Lepisosteus oculatus: one gene and its partner. Each later gene encodes a partner of the first gene's protein in a complex. Links are inferred from orthologs where the notes say so. Each region holds a gene or a part of one and is shown in the gene's direction. Other genes may lie near its edges. The genes, in order: rabggtb and ykt6.

The links.
Region 2: the proteins of rabggtb (region 1) and ykt6 are in contact, whole or in part, in a crystal structure (PDB 6J7F), measured with the Homo sapiens proteins. The link is inferred for Lepisosteus oculatus from reciprocal best matches to the Homo sapiens genes RABGGTB and YKT6. Residues at the interface, in NP_004573.2 of Homo sapiens: Thr3, Pro4, Gln5, Lys6, Asp7, Ile9, Lys11, Tyr37, Leu45, Trp52, Leu236, Asp238, Cys240, Arg281, Gly283, Asp284, Met285, Asp287, Phe289, His290; in NP_006546.1 of Homo sapiens: Lys60, Gln62, Asp63, Leu65, Asn83, Glu84, Tyr85, Pro86, Ser87, Leu153, Asn155, Thr156, Glu158, Arg189, Lys190, Cys194, Cys195.

What each region holds. Positions count from the first base shown.
Region 1 is NC_090704.1:4,133,785-4,141,090, reverse strand, and holds the start of rabggtb (geranylgeranyl transferase type-2 subunit beta), read left to right. Parts: upstream 1-4,083; 5' UTR 4,084-4,098; coding exon 4,099-4,176; intron 4,177-4,682; coding exon 4,683-4,790; intron 4,791-5,341; coding exon 5,342-5,539; intron 5,540-6,034; coding exon 6,035-6,140; intron 6,141-6,781; coding exon 6,782-6,834; intron 6,835-6,960; coding exon 6,961-7,071; intron 7,072-7,306. Other genes in the region: acadm (medium-chain specific acyl-CoA dehydrogenase, mitochondrial), read left to right, coding at 807-878. UniProt on the Homo sapiens protein: Catalyzes the transfer of a geranylgeranyl moiety from geranylgeranyl diphosphate to both cysteines of Rab proteins with the C-terminal sequence -XXCC, -XCXC and -CCXX, such as RAB1A, RAB3A, RAB5A and RAB7A.
Region 2 is NC_090697.1:70,414,172-70,421,418, reverse strand, and holds the start of ykt6 (synaptobrevin homolog YKT6), read left to right. Parts: upstream 1-4,051; 5' UTR 4,052-4,293; intron 4,294-5,295; 5' UTR 5,296-5,335; coding exon 5,336-5,439; intron 5,440-7,247. UniProt on the Homo sapiens protein: Vesicular soluble NSF attachment protein receptor (v-SNARE) mediating vesicle docking and fusion to a specific acceptor cellular compartment. Functions in endoplasmic reticulum to Golgi transport; as part of a SNARE complex composed of GOSR1, GOSR2 and STX5.

The sequences.
Region 1 (7,306 bases):
TGACCTTTTAAGATAAGTGCAGGGTTTACCTGCAGGTAGCAACACTAAATACAAACTGGGAAACACTGAGTAAGATGTTTATGTTGACACATTTACATCTTCTAGACAACGTGGGGAAGCTTTTGAAAAAGGGAACAAAGTGAATTAAAAGCAAAGGTTTTACGGATGTTATGATGAAAGTATAACCCCCCTGTAGGCCTCATTTACCATAATGTTTCCAATTTCAGTCACCATGTTATAGAAAAGATATTGCTGCTCTGGATTCAGTCCAGCAAAGATCAACCAGATGCATTCAGGACCTCAGGGAATGTCCTGCACTGACAGACTGAGGAACTGAACCTTCTTAGTTCAGTTCTACTAGAAAATGTCACATGTGGACCTGATACAAGTATTCAAAATCCTCAGAGACCCTGGCAGAGTCAAGCCAGTGGACATTTACGGAGTGAACAGCGAATCGTGAACCAGAGGCGTTCTGTGGAAATGCATTTAAAACTGATAACAGGAGACACTCCTTTACCCAAAGGGCTGTGAGATGATTGAACACGATACCCAGCCATGTTGCTGATGTCTAATACCCTGACTTCTTTCCAGAAACTGCTGGATGAGATCTGTGGCTACTAACAGCCAAACAATCTAGATGGGTCAAATGCCTCCTCTCCTTTTTACCCACCTTTCTAATGTTCATGGGATTAAAATGTGTGGTGTCATTGATGTATATACATTCGTTTTTCAGATTGTTTTTTTTAATAAAAAATGTTGGCTCACTGATTGTGAGAGATTTTAATCAACATTATTTTCTTTTTCAGATCTATGAAGGTACAGCTCAGGTCCAGAGGATGATCATTGCTCGTGAACACATTGGAAAATACAAACAGTGATTGCACTTTTTTCCTGTAACAGTCTTCCCTTTGTTATAATTTTATGTCCTGTATGTAGAGTATCAACGACTATCAATGCAAGTACGTTCTTTGCCTTCCATATTTTAAATAAATTGGTGCCTATGACACAATACGTGAGCCTTAGAAAATGGTAACCTGAAGCCTTTAAAAGCCTTTATATACTGTTATCAAAGATAAGAGCTGCATTTGGGAACTAATTTTTGCAAAGCTGAAATAAAAAGGATGTTATATATTAAAGTTTTCTGGTTGGGTTTTTTTTACAATGTTTTTATGTATCTTTAATGGGGAAGCACACATCTGGATTGTCCTGGGTGTGTTTGTTTGCCTTTGGGTAGATACTGTACCAATTCTACAGGATATTGCTGATGCTCAGAGGAATGTTCCTACTAACACGAAGGAAATAGTTTCAATTCCACCACTGTTAGTTGTGTAAATTAACGCTAAATTGTACAAATCTAGTGTAGCATGTTTTGTTTGCTAAGTGAGCAAGTTTGAGTTCATGGCATTTGTTTGCTCTGTAGAAAATAGACTTCTTAGGTTGAATTTTGCCACAAAGGAGACTGATTTTGTCACGTCTCAGATCCTGAGCAAGGATGGATCTGGTCAGTACTGGGCTGAGAGAAGCCTGGAAAAAATTTCCTGCTGTAAGCCAGTGGTGTTAAACTCAGCTCAAAGTCTTTCATGGCTGAGTGCTGAAATGCAGCTCAGTAGAAGCACAGTTACCTATAAAACACCATCAAGCCCGGTTAGAATTATTAACAGTTATATAGTCGATCGACAGCTGTGTAACTGAGAGCTCAATGAGTGATAATGATGTTTTATTTATTCAAGAACAAGCTGTACAAATGCACATATAATACAGATACCAGAAGAAAAGGTAAAGAGGAAAAGAACAACAAACTGATTCAGTTTTAAATTTCATGCTGAAAGCTGTAGTGAACAGACAGGTCTGCAAGAGAGGTCTAGAAAAGTCAGCAGCTGAAGAGTAATGCATTTGGGCAGCACGTCCTCCACGATGACTCTGTTGCCCTTTGCTTACAGCTTGGTCTTCAGCAGACATACTGTAGACACCCCGAATCATCAGATCTATTGAGATTACGTCTCCACATTGGCTAGTCCGGCCTTCCCTTGTTTGTAAGGTATATTCTAAAGAGTAATAGTTTGCTCATTTAACCAACACTTAAAAGATATTTCAGTGCCCTATATATGAGCATGAGAACCTTTTTGTTCACACTAAATTCCACATATAGACAATGCAATTTATGTGGTACAGGATTTAGGTGCTGATGCAGAATACTTTTAGTTGTTGCAGAGATGTTGGGATCATATGAGCCTAAACTCAGTCTTGACACAGTCAAGCCCAGAATAGTTCTGTTGCACCCATATCTGAACATCATAGAGACACCTGTGAAGTGCAGAAAGCACAGTGGTATTTGATTTGGTCTCCTGGTAGATCTGAATGTTATCAGAAAATCATTAATTACCTTAACAAAGGCTGTTTTAGTACTTTGTCTCTCTGCAAACCCCAAGCCAAAAGGCACAACGAGCACATGAGGAACTTCTAATTGAACTACAACTGCCCTTTCAGAATTTTTCTGAGAAAAATGCCAACTGGGAAAAGCAGTTTGTACTGTGATCGCGCTTAACAGTAGACACACACGTGGGAAGTTTCGATTTGAGTTTAATGTGTAGATATGTGGCGACAGATAAGTTGGTATCTAAAGGCGTTTTACAGAGCCAAGATGGCGGATGCAAATAAGCAGTTTCCAAATACTGTATTTGACGATTAAATTGCTTCAGACTGTGCTGTCACACATGTGAACTGTGAAACTCAGTAGTAGTCGTAATTTCTGTATTCATTAATCTTTTTATAGAGCGAGGATTTCTTTAAACAGAAAACTTATATAATTACCACCCTCCTCCGGCGAAGATTTGGGCAGGCTTTGTTTTATGACGTAGTTATTGTGGGACGCGATTCAGGGACATCACCCAAGAATGGTAGGTGCTGTTCATCGGTCTACATATTTTGTTTTCTTATATGTATATGTGTATATTTCAAGGATGAAACAGAGGCATTTGTCATATGAAATAATAATGTCTACCTACCGTTCTGTACACGTTTTAAGCACACTGCAAATAGAAGTGACATGTCCCAGAGCAAAAAGCTGTTAGACCGTGAATAGAAATGAATTTAAATCCTGCAATTTTATAAAGGTTTAAATGCCTGACAGCTAATCGCGAATGTGAGCCGTTTCTTAACCTGGTAACGCTTTGACTGCATTAAAAAATAGAATAACATCTGTCATTTAACAGAAGCTAATGTGCTTGTCCGCAAACATATCCCTGTCGGAATTTAATGGCATCTGGAGTGATGCGTAACTAGACGTTGAATCTTTTCCCTTTGTCATACAGGACGTTTGGTGTATTTCGATGTTCCGCATTATTGGTCGTAAGACATCGTTTTAGGAGATTAAAAACTCGTACGTTAAGTATGTTTTTAGAGGAGTGGTTTAGGGATACGTAATGGATAATTTAAGCGGTGAGCATCGGGAATTGTGCTACAACAAAAACCGTTTTCTGACAGTTGGTCCGTCTAACAATCTGAACAAAAAAAACATGTTGAAAAGTTAGAGCAACACCAGTCAGTATTCGGCTTAGCCAGTGGACATTTTCATATGTGTTCATATAAACGTGTACGTGCTGCAGAAAAGGCTGTCTTTTTCTGTGGGTTTTTTTCCGATACCATTGCGAATTTATCGCAGTTGTAAATAATACTTATTTTGATGCTCAGTGCAGTGTCTTGGGGGGGCATGTCACTTTGTCCGTCTGTCTAATTCCACATGTAACTGTTTGTTTTTGGACAGTTTTAGTGTTGATGAACAATACCTTGTGACCTTAAACCGCTTCAGTCTGATTTCTCAGTGGAATTAATCGAGTAACGCGTTAAATCAGTGCATTCAGTTCCATCCCACGTAATATCCCCATCCTGTAAAAGACGGTTAAGGATTTAAGTGGCACTTGTCATGGGGTGTTCCAAACACATGATCAAACATGTCAAAAACCGCATGTAAGGGTGTGTTTGTTTCCAGTACTTGTAGGTTGTCTAAAAAAAAAGTTATAAAAATATGAAGAGATGTGTCATTTCATTGTAACTATTTAATTTAAAGATTAGGAGCTGATTGCTCACAAGAACAAAACGATGTATCATCTGTGTTGTGCCAATATTTTTGTTTCTCTAGGAAATGACTGTGCACAAACTTGTTGTGTTCCTAATCAGGTCAGTCAGTGTGTATCTATAGTCATTCACAGAAATGTACATTTTTCTTGTATAAAAATGCAATAACCCCCCATCACCTCAGTAGTTATTTATGTATCATTAAGGTAAGCCATTGCAATTTTAAATCCTAAATAATTGTAATATGTTTATTGACTCATTTTATCCTTCAGTGTCCCTCAAATATAGTTCATTTGAAGGAAATAAAAATTAAGAAATTAAAAATGATTTTTTTTTCACTAAATAAGGAGAATTGTGTAGTATTTAAGTCCAGAAGGTTTTCTTCTTATAAAAGAGAAACTGTAAAGTCCACACACATAGTTCCTTGTAAAGTAAGCTTATCTGATTTCTGTAGTAAATTAATACTTGCTTTACATGTAATAATTACAATACAATAAAAATAATGACATGTTCCTAAAAAATGCACATTACTGTATATTGTTTTAAAAATCGCTCTTTGTTTGAAAATGTCTGTGGGTTCCCTTTACTAATCCTCTGCGTTATTCCAGGGCACTCAAGTTAAAGATGTCGTTATAAAGCCTGATGCTCCAAGTGTGCTTCTGTTGGACAAACATGCAGACTATATCGCAGCTTATGGTACCAAGAAGGACGACTATGTATGTATCTGCACAAGTGACAAAGGGCACACTTTCTTTTACTCTTTCCTTCATGATCCAGTAATTAGATCTGTACTTTAAAACACAGAAGCATTTAAGCGAGTAGCATTTTCAGGTGCTGCTTTAACAGCAGGAATGAATCTAGCTCTTCATGATTTAAGAGGCAGTGGTTTATTACAGCAAATCATCAGAAGCTGAAATTGCGTTTTTGTTTTTGAAAGAGTGTATCGTCTTTTAAAGAAGGGCAAAAAGTTTAGAAACCCTCTAAAACAGCCATACCTCTCTGAAACCCTTCCAGTGTTTTCTCAGTCTTGGTGAGTCCAACCCAAACGGCGGCTAAGCTTGTGATTTAGTGAGTGAAACTGACTTCTTTTTCCGTAAATCCGTATGTTTGTCCTTCCAGAAATGAGAACAGATGATAACGCTTTTTACTCTCACTGGTCATCCGCAAAAGTGGATACCTAGGAGGTGGCATTTATTAAAGACCTCCTGGTCGCTTTTTCAGTGTTGATTTTTGTGTTGTTGTTTCGGATCTCTCCCGTCTCCACCAGGAGTACACCCTGTCGGAATACCTGCGCATGAGCGGCATCTACTGGGGTCTGACGGTAATGGATCTGATGGGGCAGCTGCATCGGATGAACGAGGACGAGATTATAGAATTTGTCAAGCAGTGCCAGCATGAGAGTGGAGGAATCAGTGCCAGTATAGGACATGACCCTCACCTGCTCTATACTCTCAGTGCTGTTCAGGTACAACTCTTAAAGAGGTTGTTGTTTTTTTTCCCCTCTAGGTTTAACCAACCGATTCGAGATTCATTTTGATAAGTGCATTTGGTGACCAACTTGCTGTGTGCCTAACAATTTCTTTTTAAAAAAGCTTAGATGAAATCTGTTTTCTACCTTGAAGCATGATAGTGCCCATCTCTTTCTCTCTTTAATATGAAAAATTAAAAGACCAAATGGTGTGATTCTCATTGCTGCTTTGTGTCTAGAAAAAACAGTTCCTGGCATAAACCTGGTGTAGACAGGCTGTTGAAATAGTGTCAGTCTTCCAGTCAAACACGTTTAATCTCTTCACCTGTTTTCTATGAGAGGTTAATTTAACCTAATATTTTAAATTTATCTTGTGAGTTTTTAAGTCTTACACTCAAAGAAAGAGATATTCCCCTTTTATTTCAAAATAGCTAATTGTCGCATTTGCGTATCTTGGATTTCTGTGTTCACCGTTTTTCTGGTGTTTTTCAGATTCTCTCTCTGTATGATAGTCTCTCTGTGATCGATGTGGATAAAGTGGTTGAATACGTGAAAGGGTTACAACAGGAGGATGGATCTTTTGCTGGGGACAAATGGGGTGAGTGGATTGTTTTAGGTGTCATTTATTTGAATGTGTGCTGCTAGTCGATAGTCCAAGTGTTTCTTAAAATGTTTTATACTTCAGCACATTAAAGCAGTGGAATTATTTGTATGCTGAACTACCTGTTTCCCTCTGCTGACAGCAAAAAAGTCCTCTTCTCTAGCACTAGCAGACTTGTGAGAAATGTTTATTTGTATAAAAGTCAGATGAAAAAGCCTATATATGCTAAGTTATCCCTTCCTGTAATTATCCAATTTAAATCTTCATTATTAATGCATTATATATGTCTAGTGTTTGTTACCCTCTCGTTTTACTCAGCTTGTGACATTTGTCATTCATCTCAGACAGCGGTGTCCAGTCCTGGTCCTGGAGGGCTAGTGTGCCTGTAGGTTTCTAGTCCAGCTCAGATCCTGAAGAGCCGACACAGCTGGTTACTGGCTTAACCAGGACTTTAGCAGCTTCTCCGAGGTCTTCGGGCCCGGCTTTTTAAACCCGCAGGTGCACCAGCCCTTCGGGATCAGGACAGCCCCGATCAGAGCTGTCTCTCGTAACATTGCAATGAGAGCCTGTGTGATTTCGATGGTTCCTGTTAAGAACATCGAGTCTCTAGTTACATTTGTGTCCTTGTTTTGTTCTAGGTGAGATAGATACGAGGTTTTCCTTCTGTGCAGTGGCAACCCTGGCTTTGCTGGTAAGAGCATCTTTACAAACTTCATAGTGTCTGTTTATGAGACGATGGTGTTTGTTAGCTCTAATTCTGCCATTTTTTACTCTGTGCCTCTGGCTTAGCGTTCAGTGCGAATGACTGGTCTTTCAGGGCAAGCTGGACACCATTAACGTAGACAAGGCAGTGGAGTTTGTCCTTTTCTGCATGAATTTCGATGGAGGATTTGGCTGTAGACCGGGCTCAGAATCTCATGCAGGGCAGGTAGGTTTTTAGAAAAACCTTTGTCCTACTAAATAAGTATATTATTGCACGCCTTAGCGTTTGTGTTTCAGTATGTAAAGTTTAGCCATGACCCCCATTGCTGTTTAACACGTGCTTTTCTGTTGTATAGGAATGGGTGTGTCACTGGTTCGACTTGCTCAAGAAAAATGAACGAGTACAGTATCATTATCAGTGAATCTAATTACAGTAGAAAAACAACAACGACTCTAAACCA
Region 2 (7,247 bases), on another chromosome or scaffold:
TGTTGCTGCAGTTGTATAATATAGAGATCTAATTTTGATTTGAATGGGCATTCGCGTGTATCATCTTATATATTATCCACAAGTGTTTTTTACAGTGTCTTTTTTATTTAGTCGGCAACGTTAAATTGGTTATTATTCACAAATAACTACAGCAATAAAATTTGCTGATGACATGATCATAATCTGATAACCTGTTCTCACCCAGCAAAGGTACAATGCTGCTGAACAACCCAAGAAGTTGGTTTATGATTAAAATCACATTTTGAGGATCAACAAAGTTTAAAGCGGGAAACAAACATATATAAATGTACTCTTAAGCAGTTATGAGGAAACACTCTAAGTGAAGGTAATTGAAGTTAATTAAGAAATATACTAAGTGAAGGTAATTACGTTTTGGGCTGTTTTACAAAATAGGAACTTCGGAAGGTGACGTCAGGGATTTATATACCCTCTCATTGGGCGTATCAGTTAATCGCCGTTATCAGGCTAAATATTTTGAAATAACAAGCAATTCAAGGGGAAGACTGATTTAATCTTACCTTCTCCATAATATGAGGATCCATCGTACTTCCCCCACCGGTCATGAGTGCTACTGTCCAGGGGCTCGCTTGCGTCTAGTCGGGCGACCACTCCGGGTGAACAATGAGGCTGGGTGCCGTTGACAGATGGATACCTTCCCCGAAAATAACTACACCAAAAGGCTCATAATTAAAGCTGTTTTTGTAAGGAGGGATATGGACATGGAGTTTAATCAGAGCTCCAATTTCCGTTTGTCACGATAGTCTATTATTACATTTCCCCCAGTTTTTTTTAGAAAATGTTGATTACCTGTTTATCCCTGCTTCCGAAAACTACCCTTCCTCCTTAGTCTATCTGCCAAGATGGGCAAATTCACCTTGCATTTTGTATAAGGCTTCGCTGAGTTGGAAGTGATACAGTACAACAGCGGGAATATCCATGTGTTTATTCATGTTCACCAACCCTAAGTACTTTCACCAATTTGTACCCTTCCAAGCTTCTCAGAAAAGTGAGCCTTTCTTTAAGGATTAGTTTTAGTGTCCATGTTCAAAGCACTTCTGTTCTTTTATACTGTATGTGGTGCGTAAGCATCTTAGTGTTTTGTAAAGCAAAAAGTTTCCTACAGTATTAGAACTGCGCTCTACAACACCTTGAAAGCGCAAGTTTAAATTCAAGACCCCAGTGTCTTAAATACGGGACGGGAAGTTGTCGTCTGAGTAAAAGTCATCCTTTCCGTTGCCTCTCAAAGATCATTTTAATCGCATTCCATACTCGTGCCAGTCGAGACATTGGGCTTCATCGTGGTAGCAGAATATTTCAAAAAGTTTTTTTAAAAAATTTTAATTTAACCAAGACAACTTGGCATCTCTCTCCAGAGTGCAAAAACACCAACAATTCAACTCCAACTCGACATCGTTTATTTTCACCCTAAGATTTTCAAGGAAATATTAAAAAAAATCAAATTGAACTAAGATGTATTATTAAAAATCTAAACGAAAAGAAAGCGAGCATTGATCATTTTAGTCCCGTGATAGTTGCGCGCTTTAAACACGGGTGATCAATTTAACAATTCTTAGAATCCTTTCACGTGGCATATTACTCTATCTTTAAGTTCTTCTTGTTTAAATTAGCAATATATTTCCACCCTAATTTTATAAGTCCCAAGAGGGACGTACTTGCATTGATTTGATTTTAATTGGTCAGAAAGCGCGCAGACAGGACACGGTTATCCATCATCCCTCCCGTTTCCCCGGTTCTTCATTCTGTTTCCCTGGCAATCGAGAAATAAAAAACGACCCTATTGGTCTCTACTAAAAGCACTCGCACTGCCATTGCTGCCACAACCACCAGGTGCTTTACAGAGCAGTCATCCTTCCCGTTGCCTTGGCGACAACATTCTGAATCCGTTGCCCTGGAAATCTCTCCATATATGCTCACCTCTGGTATGGAAAACACTTATCAATGAAGCGAGTGGACAGTAGGAAATTGTTAAATGGGGCAAAATTACTTAGGAAAACATTGGCTTAGCTGCAAAGTCCTCAATTGCGTGGCTCCCACTCAAGCTTGACTGTTCATCAGTAAAGGACACGGAGCGATCAATACAGCGAAAGGCTGAGATCATTTCGCTCCGGCAATTTTGGGCATCGCAAAAGCTGGCAGAGGTATTAGGCTCTGGGATTGGGTGGGAGAAGTGAGAGGAGGAACTGCAGCTTTGTCAAAAAGTTGATTTCTACACGGCCAGACCCTGAATACTCGTCATCAGCGGAGCAATTCGGAGATAAGATCAAAAATCCAGCAGCCATATCACCCTGCAACTCACAACTGGCAACCCACTGAAGCTAAGCAGGTGTGAGCCTGGTCAGTACCTGGATGGGAGACCTCCTGGGAAAAACTAAGGTTTCTGCTGGAAGAGGTGTTAGTGGGGCCAGCAGGGGGCACTCACCCTGCGGTCCATGTGGGTGCTAATGCCCCGGTATAGTGACGGGGACACTATACTGTAAACAGGCGCCGTCCTTCGGATGAGACGTAAAACCGAGGTCCTGACTCTCTGTGGTCATTAAAAATCCCAGGGCGCTTTTCGAAAAGAGTAGGGGTGTAACCCCGGTGTCCTGGCCAAATTTCCCCCCTGGCCTTTACCCCATCATGGCCTCCTAATAATCCCCCTCTATGAATTGGCTACATTACTCTGCTCTCCTCCCCACTGATAGCTGATGTGTGGTGAGCGTTCTGGCGCACTATGGCTGCCGTCGCATCATCCAGGTGGATGCTGCACATTGGTGGTGGTGGAGGGGAGACCCCATTACCTGTAAAGCGCTTTGAGTGGAGTGTCCAGAAAAGCGCTATATAAGTGTAAGCAATTATTATTATTATTATTATTATTAAAAACAACTCTAAGATCCTCCCGCTTCTACATAAAAACCCTGCTGCTTATATCACGTGTTTTCCCCATATTCTACAGAGGATGAACAAGGAAACCTAATTTAGGATAATACATAACATAAGCCTATTAAAATTCACTAAACACATTCTCAATTCTAAAAGTCACAAGCAGATTTTCTGACATATTAATCTATTGACTAAAAATGAATCGGAACGTGTATGAACGAACCTATTGATAAACAACAACCTTTGGTCACACTAGGACACCGACATTATGGTAAAATCTGCTAAAGCTGTTGACATCAAACTATGATCAGAAAACGTGATTGAGTTATTAACGTACTGCAGTCTTTCGAGTTTGATCAAATCAAACAAGTACATTTTCAGATAGACTTAGTAAATAAAAAAATATTCTGCAAATCTTTAAAAACGTTGTGCATGTTTGAACTATCTGGGAAATATTCTCGATTTTCACAAATGTTGCAATGTTTCCTGTTATCCCTGGTGAGCCGAATTAAGAAGTGTCACAAATCTTTACGATTCTTTACGATACAGCGCCATCTAGTGACATAGCACTCGGTATTTGCTTGCACTGGAAAAATAAGCCATTCTGTTTTATTATTTTGTTTTAAGAAAGGGAAAGCTCAAATATGAAAGGACAACAGGCGTGTTACAAAGCTTTCTCAATAAAGAGGGTTAATTGTCAATATTCAATTTTTCCAAACGAGTCCAATTATAATTTCAGAATTATTTCACATCATAATACATTCCGATATTCTACAACGAGTTTAATTCGGAATTGCTTGTATGACTTTATTTTAAGTCGAAATTTATAATGGATGGACAGGCGCAACAAAGCGAATACTTTATTTGTAAAACTCCCTATAAAATCCAGTGTTTTGCAACATTCAAAACGAAAATACGATTCCCAAGGCCAGTTCTCGTTGAAGTAAAATCATTTCTTTCAGATGTACATATTAGGTATTATAAGAAGAAATTACTTTTGTAAAAGCAAAGCATAACGTTCATTTTCGAAGGGTCCTGAAAATTGATGCGTCTTCCCTGAGGTGCAGACCCACTTAACTCTAGGCACGGATCATGAGAGGCTCGTGTTGCACGCCGGGGGTGTTTGAAGGTAGGACCTAATTCCGCCGGAGTTGAGTGACGTGGTTCGGGGGAAGAAAGAGAAAGGGAGTTTCTTTCGGTGTTGTCTGGATCTCAGTCTCCTTTCGGAGGGTAGCTTTACAGTTCGGATTCGTCATTACGTTCAGTGCTATTTTTCTTTTTCCTCCATACCTTCAGTAGAGGAATCGACACATTTCTGCCTTGACGTGGCTGTTGGAGCTATAATACGAGTGGTCTCTAATCGTCTGAAGAGAAGCAACAGAGTAATTGGTAAGAGGAACTAAACTAATCCTTCCCCAAAACAGTAGTGTTAATAGGGAGAAACAGATGCCCGAGATTAAATCGGAGACAATAAGATGATTAAATAGTGGCAGTATTAAGTATTCCCTATGAATATATACTTATATCGCCGCTTGATCAAGACCAACTGAGTGTGTTCAGTAGTAAGTCGATGCCGTTAATAAGTATTGTTGAGAGTAAATCTAAAACACGAGACTCTGGTAACACGGAAATAACAGCCCCATTTCATATCCTTGAACTTTTGCCATTTAACGTAATGTAATGATAATTTAAATTGGACGTTATTGGTCAGGAAAATGTTGGGAGACGTAATCGTTTTATTTGTGAGAAAGTCCGTGGCTATTTTGTCTTTTGCATTTGCCGTTTAATACCACAAGGACAGCTGGTGCAAAGAGCAAATACCTGCAGCATCTCATACGCTTGTTTTAAGTCAGGAAAGGTGACGTTTCGTGAGCAGCCTGGAAGCGTAACAGTCCGACTGCGACATCACCGGTAAAACAATAATTGTAAAAAAAATTGATTACATCTTTCAGTGAAAAGCAGTGATGAATACCACTCTCAATACAACACAACACCGTAGTTCACGGTAAATAAGTGGTCAGTATCAGTGCATTCGGATTAAGAAGTTCGCTTTTCTGAAAGGACTTTCCCAATCAGCTCATGGCGTGCCTTGCAGCAAAGAAAAAAACTTCCCATGAAATTGACATTGATATTTCACTGGTGTGGCCGACAAGCAGCACCTCTTTAGTGTCATTGCAACTTTGTTTTACTATGATTGTTTACAATATATTTAAAAAGAATGTACATCTATGGGAGTATTGTGACTCTTTTATGTTTGGTCTTCTTGGCTGAAATAGACTGTTGCTCTCCAGATGAAGGAAACGTAGTCTTTCTGGTGGTGGTGGGGATTACTGGTCAGTGAGGGAAGACGTGCTGCTCTGTACTGGTTTGCTGTGTCTCGGTGTGTTTCAGAGCTTCTGGGACGCCCAGGTGATTCCAAGTGTGAGTCATAATGAAGCTTTACAGCCTGAGTGTCCTCTATAAAGGGGCAACCAAAGCCAACCTGCTCAAAGGTGCCTATGATTTATCCTCCTTCAGCTTCTTCCAGAGGTCCAGGTAAGTTCGTGCCTTTTCCCAGCGGCGTTTTGCTGTAGTGATTGAATGAAAAAATTGGCAGTCCAGTTACTGTGAATATGTCCTTCCAAACCATGTGACCTCTGTCTCACTCATGTTGTCAGTGTAAACTGACAGAGAGTCACAGGCCAAGATATAATGTGAGTTTCTCTTCTGGAGCCAGGTTCTTGTAATTCCTGGTTCAGGGAAATCGACGGTTTCACTTGAAGGGTCTAAAGCAATTGGACCCTTCCAATTAAAATAATTTTAAATGAGTTCAAGCCCAATAGTTTTGCAATTTTATCTTAAGCAATCAATTTTATTGGTGAATTTAAAAAGGCCACATGCAAAAATCCTATCTTGAGAATTAGTCTAGGAAGAATGTGATTCTGGGAGAACATATGAAATCAGTTTTTTTGTATGCTTATGTAATGGGTAGGACATTCCTACATATTGTTTGTAACTGCACAGTTTAGCATTGAACAGGAAATAAGGCAGAAAAAAAACATAATATCCATTCAGAATGTAATGCAAGATTAATCACATTCTTTATTTGTGTTGTAGCAGCAAAAGATTTGTGTACAGCAAATGTGGACCAGCGGGTATGGTTTGAAATTTCTGACACTGTAGGGCATTGAATAAAAAAAAACCCTTAAGGGGTTAAGGTTTTGCACTTAATCCAACTCATTGCTTGGTTTCTATGGAAACGAAGCTGAGTGAGAATCCCACAGCTTCAGCTTCAACAGCTGTTTCACACATCACACATTAGCAGACACGTGTTGTCACTCAACAAAAACAGTCATACACTCGAGCAGTCTGCGATTTCTATATGTAAAAAATATCTAAGAAAGGCATGAGTTCATTTTCATACTGAACAACCTAGAGATAATTATGTGTCTGTGTGTATGTTAATCCTGGCTTGGTTTGATGCGTAAAATACTCAACAGTCTGAAATCTTAATTTCATAGTTGTTCTGTTGTGATTTAGCATCTACGTTTCAGCTAGCAAACACTTTCTCAATTTCTTAAGCAATAACAAGTTACAAACTACTGACTGAAGAGAAAAATAATTTTTAGTTTTATTTTCATGAAACGGAGCTAAACTTGAATGTGACTGATTCTTGAAAGGGATTTGGTGGGTGAGAAGAACCAAGCTAATAGTGTTGTAGATTATGTGGGAACAACATAAGGGTACTGACAGTCAGCAGAAGCCTAAATTAGTCAGCACGAAGTAAACAAAATAAGTTTCCTTCTTTCCTTCTGATTTTGCTTCATATTTCGTTTTCTGATTTATTATTTGGTGTTTAGAATTTGATTTTGCAATAGTTTATTTTATGGCTATAGTTTAACAGCAATTCTCAAAGATGACCTTTGCAAAGCAAAGATTGTGGGATTAATGACTTGAACTACTGATAAAACAGTACACAACCACAGATTTGCAAATGTATCTTAAACAATCACATTTATTGGAAAGTTTAAAAAGGCCACATGCAGAAGTGCTATCTTGAGAATTACTCTAGGAAGAATGTGGTTTTGGGAGAACATATCAAATCATTTTTTTGTATACCTATGCAATGGGTAACACATTTCTAAGAATTGTTTGTAATTGTTATAACCAAGTTATTTCAAGTGTTATACTGAAACTGTCCTTGACTTACAAATGGCTTAAGGAAGTTTGTTTTATTTTAAATGGCTCATAACAGATTTCAGAGAGCAAAAGTGTGTAATAACCCTTGCTCATTACAGCATCTTATATCCAAATCTTTACTGTAACAGAGAGCTCTCTCTGATTTTTAGACATTTCAATAAATG